Linked DNA regions of Yarrowia lipolytica. The protein of the gene in region 2 interacts with the protein of the main gene of each other region in a biochemical or structural test. Links are inferred from orthologs where the notes say so. Each region holds a gene or a part of one and is shown on either strand. Other genes may lie near its edges.

What was found.
Region 1: the proteins of YALI1_C20646g (region 2) and YALI1_B20717g form a complex in vitro, tested with the Saccharomyces cerevisiae proteins (3 studies listed by BioGRID, with this or other methods). The link is inferred for Yarrowia lipolytica from reciprocal best matches to the Saccharomyces cerevisiae genes CDC24 and CDC42.
Region 3: the proteins of YALI1_C20646g (region 2) and YALI1_F30395g form a complex in vitro, tested with the Saccharomyces cerevisiae proteins (2 studies listed by BioGRID). The link is inferred for Yarrowia lipolytica from reciprocal best matches to the Saccharomyces cerevisiae genes CDC24 and RSR1.

What each region holds. Positions count from the first base shown.
Region 1 is NC_090771.1:2,070,787-2,072,987, forward strand, and holds YALI1_B20717g (uncharacterized protein), read left to right. Parts: upstream 1-918; coding exon 919-966; intron 967-1,075; coding exon 1,076-1,161; intron 1,162-1,244; coding exon 1,245-1,686; downstream 1,687-2,201. Other genes in the region: YALI1_B20709g (uncharacterized protein), read right to left, coding at 1-141, 186-283. UniProt on the Saccharomyces cerevisiae protein: Involved in development of cell polarity during the cell division cycle, and essential for bud emergence. Affects signaling in the pheromone-response pathway through the STE20 protein kinase.
Region 2 is NC_090772.1:2,062,383-2,066,147, forward strand, and holds the start of YALI1_C20646g (uncharacterized protein), read right to left. Parts: upstream 2,253-3,765; coding exon 1-2,252. UniProt on the Saccharomyces cerevisiae protein: Promotes the exchange of CDC42-bound GDP by GTP. Controls the polarity of calmodulin, and the calcium regulatory process of bud emergence. CDC24 may be involved in the initial selection and organization of the budding site.
Region 3 is NC_090775.1:3,038,258-3,040,715, forward strand, and holds YALI1_F30395g (uncharacterized protein), read right to left. Parts: upstream 1,288-2,458; coding exon 523-1,287; downstream 1-522. UniProt on the Saccharomyces cerevisiae protein: Ras-related protein which binds GDP/GTP and possesses intrinsic GTPase activity. Involved in development of cell polarity during the cell division cycle, and essential for bud emergence.

The DNA.
Region 1 (2,201 bases), on a different chromosome or scaffold from region 2:
GGTACTGTACTTACAGTAGACTGGTACGCGTGCTGACAAGGGATCGTGTCTGTGGAGTGATGTGGCGTGAGGGGAGTTCGGGAAAGATAGTGGGCCATACAAGAGGGTGGTAGTACCGTGATAACGTAGTGTATGGTGGAACTTGGGCTGTTCATAGGGGGTGTTTAATAAACATTGTACGCTACTGTACCTGTAAGTACTGCACCGACCCGCGCACTAACCCGACACAAGAAATGTGCCTCATTGGCCTTGGGCTTATCAGTGAGTGATGTGGCCTATGCATGAGCGAATGGGTTGTGTGGCATAGATGTTTTGACGCTGACTGCTACGTAGCACGTAGTATAGAGGACGGCGTCAGTTTGCGGAATGTAAACGGAATGTGTGCGTGTTTGAATAGTAATAATATCCGGTCCAGTTGCCCCACGCGACAGTTTTCCCCTGTTGGCCTATTATGTCCTTTATGCCCTTGAAGTACAGTTTCCAGCTCCCCTGGGACGATTCGATTAGGGGACTTAGTTTTGGCAACGTCAGTGGGAGGGGAGAGGTGGGGCACTCGTAAGTCACAGACGGCAATAGGCGGTGGAAATATACAGAGTATTCGATGGTAGAGAAACGACTTTCTCAGACGAGAAGATTTCACAAGCCCTCGTATTCCGCGCCCCCTGGCTCACGATACACCACAGAAGCGCTCCGTGGCACACCTTTGTGCATAAAAAAGCATAGGCTTCTGTAAGCAGCCTTCTCGTTTGACACCCAAATCCGAAACCCTGTCGCACAGCACAACTCACCACCTCACATATCACACTCCACACATACACACCCACACAACACACCCACATTCTCACACTCTCACGCCCCCACCACGCTCCTTGAACAAGCTCCCGCCCTAGCCCGTGCACAGACCCTCAAAAAGATAAAATGCAGACCATAAAATGTGTTGTTGTCGGCGATGGTGCCGTCGGAAAGGTGAGTATAAAGACAAAACGCCAATTATCAAGGTTCTCGTGCTCCGCCACGATCACGATGTCGTTCTGGACGATGGATTAATGGCCCTGGAGAGCTCCTACTAACGCAGACTTGTCTCCTCATCTCATACACAACAAACAAGTTCCCCTCTGAATACGTTCCCACCGTTTTTGACAACTATGCCGTGACTGTCATGTGAGTATAACGCGTCGCATTCTGCAAGAAACCAAGCCCCCCCCCCCCCCCCCCCAAGCAACGAATCGAGATACTAACCCCAGGATTGGAGACGAGCCCTACACACTCGGACTGTTTGACACCGCCGGTCAGGAGGATTACGACCGACTGCGACCTCTTTGTTACCCTCAGACCGATGTTTTCCTCGTCTGCTTTTCCGTCACCTCTCCCGCCTCCTTTGAGAACGTCAAGGAGAAGTGGTTCCCTGAGGTCCACCACCACTGCCCCGGCGTGCCTTGCCTCATTGTTGGTACCCAGGTTGATCTGCGAAGTGACAGGATGATTCTTGACAAGCTTTCCCGACACAAGCTGCGACCCATGACCACTGAGCAAGGCTACCAGCTCGCCCGAGAACTCGGTGCCGTCAAGTACGTCGAGTGTTCTGCCCTTACTCAGAAGGGTCTCAAGGACGTTTTCGACGAGGCCATCGTGGCAGCTCTTGAGCCTCCAGTGGTCAAGAAGAACAAAAAGTGCATTGTGCTCTAGTTTTTGCATGCTAATGGGTTAACACAACGAAAAATGAATCAAAGCAAGAAAAAAATGTTTCAAGATATGTTTATTGTAGTAGAACTGGGCTTGGATTGTGTCTACAGGGCCTCCGTGAGGGAACCTCAAAACAAAGCATCACTATGCGTTTCAAGCCTCGAGATGCCACCTGATGTCTGTAGTTACCCCATTTTTGACATATATATTATTGAATATCCAAAGGTAGAACCTGACGCGTGCTTGTAGTGCTGCAGTGGTGTATTATTTCCCCTGTTGGGTCATCATTACACGATAAGTACAAGTACGGATAGCTTCCGCCTCTACAATTAAAAGACACGCCCCACCCTTATTAAGCCAGCACATCGCTCAGGCAGATGTTTGAGTCCCGAACTCTATCCTAAGAAATCCATCGAAAAATAGTGGGTGTGCGTACAATACCCTAATATCTACCTTGGTGCAGAAAATCTAATCAGAACCTACCAGAACTACACATCTACACTCACGACATTGACGTT
Region 2 (3,765 bases):
TCCTCATCCGAATGGATGGTCACCATGTCTCCGTCTTCGTCCTGGTACTTGATTCGCAGAGGGGCAGGTACCACCTTTCCACACAGTCGCACCTTTCGCTCCACCCGCTCAATCAGCTGATCGTAGGTGACCTTGGCAGGCACAATGAGCGTGAATACGTCCTGGAAATACTGTACGCGTACCTTAATGTTTGAGGGACGCATGGAGCCATCATCAAAGCCAGGAGTAGAAGCAGATCTAGCCCGGCTCATGCCTCCTCCATTACTGCTCGCAATGGACACCGAGCTGTGATTCATGCCGTTAGCCCCGTGCATGCCGTTGATAGAGGTGGTGGAGTGCTGTCGGGGGCCCAGCTTGGGCACTGGGCCTGAAAGAGACCGATTTCCAAGCGTCAGTCGGTCCAGGTCCTCAGACAGATGCGAGCTCTGCTGGGAGTTTCGGCTGCTGATTGGAGACTCCACAAGAGGTGAAAAGTGAGACTCATACGAGTCCTGGTTGTACCAGTCGTGCAGCTGTTTGATGGTAGCATCCCATTGTCGCAGTTGCTCTTCGTGTCGGAACCGCATGGTCATAGAGCCATAGCCGTCTCCTTTGTACGTAAGCGTCAAAGAGTATCCGTTTTCTGTACTAGATATCATGTTGGTCACGTTGGCGATGTAGATTCGGCCCTTGAGAGAAAGAACTGTCTTTTGTGGCTTCTTTGAGGGCAAACTCATTGTCTTACCCTTTTTATCACGTGTCTCTTTGCAACACAGGATGATGGCCTCGAACAAATACACCAGGTACTCATATTCACCGGACTCCTTTGCAATCGTAAGGTGGTCCATGTAGAGCAGGTCTCCAAAATCTTCAAGGTTGTAGCTCTTCCAGCTATCTATTCGCTCGCACAGGTCTTGAATGATAGCCACGTTCTCCACCCTTCGCTGTGTCTCGTTGACACTGTTGGTAACCCGCTTGATGGCCTCCAAACCGTCTAGCAGCTCTGACGCGTAAGGATGGTCGCTGCTGCTCACTTTTACCAGCTCTCGTAGCAGTAATGGGTACTTGCAGATTCGTTGAATGGGCTTGATGAGGAAGGCCTGGAGCTCGTAGGTAGGCTCGATGATGTGGGCGAGGGCGGTGAGTTTGGGGGCCTCCTGAACAGCCAGATCGGAGGACGCCTTTTGGTTCAGCGCGTAGGGCTCGTAGATGTGAAAGCCAGCCTCCATGTTGAGGAAAAGTGCGCCAAAGCGCTGCTCTTCGACCGGCAGAGAGCACACATGTTCAATACCGACCAGTACTCTTCTCTGGAAGTCGACCAGTGCAGATACGTTCAGAAACATGAGATGTATAGTGTCTGGGTTTAGGATTTCAGCTTCCAGGAGACGGTTTTGGTAGTCGTGCAGTATTTCGAGATCCTGGACGTACTTTCGCTCTGTCTGTAGCAGCTCTTGAACCACGTTGTATCGCGCGTCTCGGGTGGCGGGTGCGGTTATGGGTGCAGTTTTCGGAGGCAGCAGGTGTCTGGCCTCCAGCGTCTCCACCACCATGCTGACCGTACGCATCACTTTGATAAGATCGCCCGTGTTTTCGGAAAAGAGGTTGGAGATGGTGAAGAGCTCGTCGTCCGAGTAGCCCAGCTCGGCCTTGCAGCCCTGCACAAAGTCGTAGACCGACCGTTTGCATGTTCGCACGTCGATGGACGCGCGGTTAGCGGCGGCGTGGGGGTCCACTGTGAGTGGAGTTCGAGGTTGCAGCATGTTGAACAAGATGCACAGGGGGGCTCCTAGTCGGAACAAAGACCAGAGCTGGGTAACGGGGTCCAGGGGGATGGAGGGGGGTAGGTGGGTGATGGGCACGATGGACGACATTTCCGAGTCTTCCAGGAAGGGCCGCACTTGCTCAATGTCGTGGAACCGGTCCCGCATGGTCTTGCACATATTGTAGAGCGACTTTTCCGAGTCGGCCTGTCTGTTCATGACGAGGTTTGCCACCGGCATGGGAGCCACCGAGGTGGGGGCTGTTGACTGCACCGACGACATGGACATGGTGGGCGTCATGGATCGCAAACGCGGCGTGGAGGGGTATGTGGAGTTCTGTGTGGACGGCGACAAGGTGGACAGAGACGGGGTGGATTGCGACGAGCTTTTGCGTTGCTGGGGGGTCTTCGTGTATGGCGACGACGGTAGCAGGTTGTTGATCTCCTGGTGCAGCATCTGCTGGTGAGCCAGGTTGTCATTTGGCGGAGACAGTCTTCGAGAGGATCCGTTCATGGTGACCGACGGGAGCAAGGGGGGACCGTGGTAGTGGACGGTGCGTGGTTTTGAAATGGATGTGCGTGGGAGGGTGCGAGGCGTGTGGTCACGTGGGCGGGCGATGCGACTAGTCCCGTGGCGATGATGGAAGCGTGCCTGCTTTTGTGTCGTGTGTGTGCTGTGTCGTTCAAACTCACGTCGTCACGTCCTCTCAGGTAGTGTCAACAAGTGCGGTGGGCCTTTACAATAGCAAGACACCGAACCTTATGGGGATACGAGTGAGGGGGGGGGAGAGGACTGGGGGGTTGGTAATAAGTGGCCCGATAAAACAACCTGAGATAGAGAGTTTAGTGGCGGACCCTGAGCCCTAAACCAAACCACAAGACAACCACCACCCCCTTATATATAATATATATTTATATATAATATATACTTCGATAAATTAACAAGCGGAACACAGTTCGCACAGGAACCCGACTTTTGCGGCCGTGGTGTTTTGGCCTCGTATCCGCTCCTTGTCGTTTCCCAACATTGTTCGGACTCCTTGTTTTAGTTGGGAGATGCGCAGCCCCTGGATGTTAGTCAGCCGAGCCTATTTGGGCCGCGGAACGTCAATTCTGGCCGCGGACACGGCGTGAGATGACCATCAAAAGGTCTCCTCCGTGATAAAGAGCCCGGATTTCCCATCTCTCTGGTGAATTTTTCTACTCTGTGACCCCACGATCTGGCCCCACGATCTGACCTCTCGATCTATCGAGTTGTCGGGCTTTGAAAATCTTTAAAAAAACCTTTAAAAAGATTTGGGAGGACGAGTGTGAGGGTAGAGCACGAGACATGTTGTATAGTACACACGAGAAGCACAAGTACAGTACTTGTAGGTATAAGACTTGTAGAGAACAAGTACAAGTACAGTACAATATAATACAATACAATACAATACAATACAATTACAATAAAAAACAGGTACCTTCACTGTAGCCTCTTCTACCCCATTGCAATATCCAAACAAGAAGTGGTCCGATGACTCGCATTCGTGGTTTTTTTCGTCGCCAAAGTCCATTCATTGTACAAACGAAGAAGCCTTTTTACCACGTGGCAACGAAATTGCGAGACCCTGAATGTGTTTTTACAGCACGAGACCTCGTGTTGCTGTAGGCCGGTTCTATTTATAGACCATAATTCCATCCACATCTCTTTCTCTCTCTTCTCTCTCTCTCTCTCCCTCTCTCTCTCTCCCACAGTTATGTGAACAACGCACCTGTGCAGACAGACTCCGAAGTGCTCAGTGGAATTAGCCGCCGAGACGCGCTGAATACGCTCTTATTAGTCCTTTGCTTTCTTTGGGCCTCTTTTGTCTCACCGAGCGTCCCCAGAATGTTTTATACACCGCGCCAACTCGTCCAACAACCTATTTTGTTTTACCACTCTTGTATGTTGTTAATTAGAGCGGCGCATTAATACGTTGAAGGTAATACGTCGGGCCAGTAAAGTTTCAGCTGAAACCGTCACATTGAACAAACATGCGCAGTCT
Region 3 (2,458 bases), on a different chromosome or scaffold from region 2:
CACACCTCAATCACCCCACTAAATATTCTAATATCTGGGCTACAGCGCACGAGAACACGACATCTCCTTCTCGCATGTACAACTGCACCATGTATCAAGGAGCGTCCAGTCCGTCTCCATAGCAATAGGCGAGGAGAGACATTATTGGTTTACCAGGGTTTAGCTCAATTAAAGAGAATGAGAGTCCGAATGAGTTCAGAGTGACAACCTCCCACTTGTCTCACCATGGAAAGGCTGATTCATTCACCTGGAATGTGGAAGTATGTGTACGATTTTGGAAGATACTCATTAGAAATCACAACACAACAAGATATTAAGGTGCCAGATGTTGAAAAGGACGAGACTACAAGGGTACCCGTACTCGTACAAGTAGTATGCGAGGATATTGGCAGAAAAAAAATGCATATATTAACGAACGTGGGAGTATTGTGCTACTCCATGCAGTGAGATCAACTCTTAAATAGGTATGTGTGGCTGATAGGCCGCACAACTGATTGTGAACAAGTAGCTAGACTGTGCAACTTACATGATAACACACCCCTTCTTCTTCTTCTTCTTCACCTCCGAATTCTTCCTCTGATGCCCTTTGAAACTCGTCGAGATGTTTCGGATAGACGCTGCCGAACTCGTACTCTTGACACTCACGTGCTTCGACGCTCTATCGTCGTAAGGCATGTTCAGATAGTCTGCTCCAGTAGAGGACGTGGGGCTGTGGGTAGGGCTGCTCACGCCCATTCCGCTTGTACCAGCCAAGGAAACGGTTGAGCCGCCAAACGACGAGTCTCGACGAATGATCTGTCGCAGAAGGTCCTGGAACACCTGGTCAATGTTGGTCTTGAACTTGGCCGACGTCTCGTAGAAGGGAACCTTGCCCCATTGGTTGGCCAGCGCCACTCCGTCCCGAGGCTGCACCTGTCGCTCGTTTTCCAGATCGCACTTGTTGCCCACCAGCACCATGGGCACGTTGTTGTTGTCCTTGATCCGACACACCTGTTGTCGCAGCTCCTGCAGCTCTCGCAAAGACGACTCCGAGTTGACTGAGTAGACCAGAACGAAGCCCTCACCGTTTCGGATGTACAGCTCTCGCATGGCGGTGAATTGCTCGACTCCAGCGGTGTCGAGAATCTCCATGGTGCAGTGCCGGCCATCCAGATTCACCTTTTTGCAGTAGGAATCCTCAATGGTAGGGTCGTAGGACTCGATGAAAATGTCCTGCACGTACTGGACGGTAATGGCAGACTTTCCGACGCCACCGGCGCCCAGAACGACGATTTTGTAGTCTCTCATGCTGTGTATTTTTTTGTGGTGGTGAGAAGCGTAGGAGGGCTCAGGTATAAGTCATGTTTTGGTAGCTACGCTTGTTAGACATTAAGTTCACGTGTGAAATTTGGGTTTGTCATCAAGTTCTGGGCGGATGTCCATGAACATCGTTGTGATAGGGATAGGGGTGGAAAAATTACATAAAAATGCTTGACTTCATTATGGCTACTTTTTCCCATCTTTTATTTGTTTCTCGTCCTACAGGAATCTCAAATATCAGACGCTGCCCGCCACTCATTCCAACTCATATACACCAACACTAAAGCATAGTCCCAAAACTCTGTTTGTTGTCTCTGTGCTTTTTGTTTTGTTTTTATGTCCTCTTTCAAACAGGCGGGTGAGACAGTTGTGGGTTGTCTTTAGGCGTTTTGCGCCCTCTGCTTTAAGGCGTATACGACGCATTCCGCAGACGTTGCTCGGTACAGTAGTCCGGCTGATGGCAAGTGGCCCTTAAGCCCTTTCATTTGGCCCCCTACTTGTCTCGTTATTCAAGCCGTATATGCCCTGCCTGGCTGCTATACCTCACTGGGCCCACTTGGCGAAGAACCAAAAATAGACCCGTTTATTATTTCGCTCTGACACAAATATTCCGCCGAAAAGTGCCATATGTACTTTTGTGTCAAGACGCGAAACGCGACCTCTTTAGGCTCGGGGCACGTGCTGTACTAGTATAGCCACATAAGGGGTACAAGTGGCATAGAAGCTGTGCAATATTGTGGACACGGGACATAAACAAACCGAGCGCTGTACCAGCCTCGTGTCTAGCATAACAGCTATAGTTGCGCGCGTGTAGATGATTATTCAGCCCGATACAAGTAGACCCCGCTGGAAACTCAATTGTCAAAACACTGTTGACAATCATGAAAATCAGGGCAACCCAAGACCACACCACCACATACAAGCGCGGTGCGAGACACTCTGCCAGTAGCGAGTTCGATACTTGTACAAGGCGAGTTGTTTCATTCTGCGGTCTGAACCGACAGCCTCACGTCTCCCACTCGCTAAGAATGTAACGTCCACTGGCAGTGGTGCGCTCCTTGCATTCCCCTTCTTCTCCTGTCTTGCTGGCTTCGTCCTAACCACACATAGACACTGTGTTGTTAGGAGCGCTTGACAACCTAAAAACCCCCAAGACTGC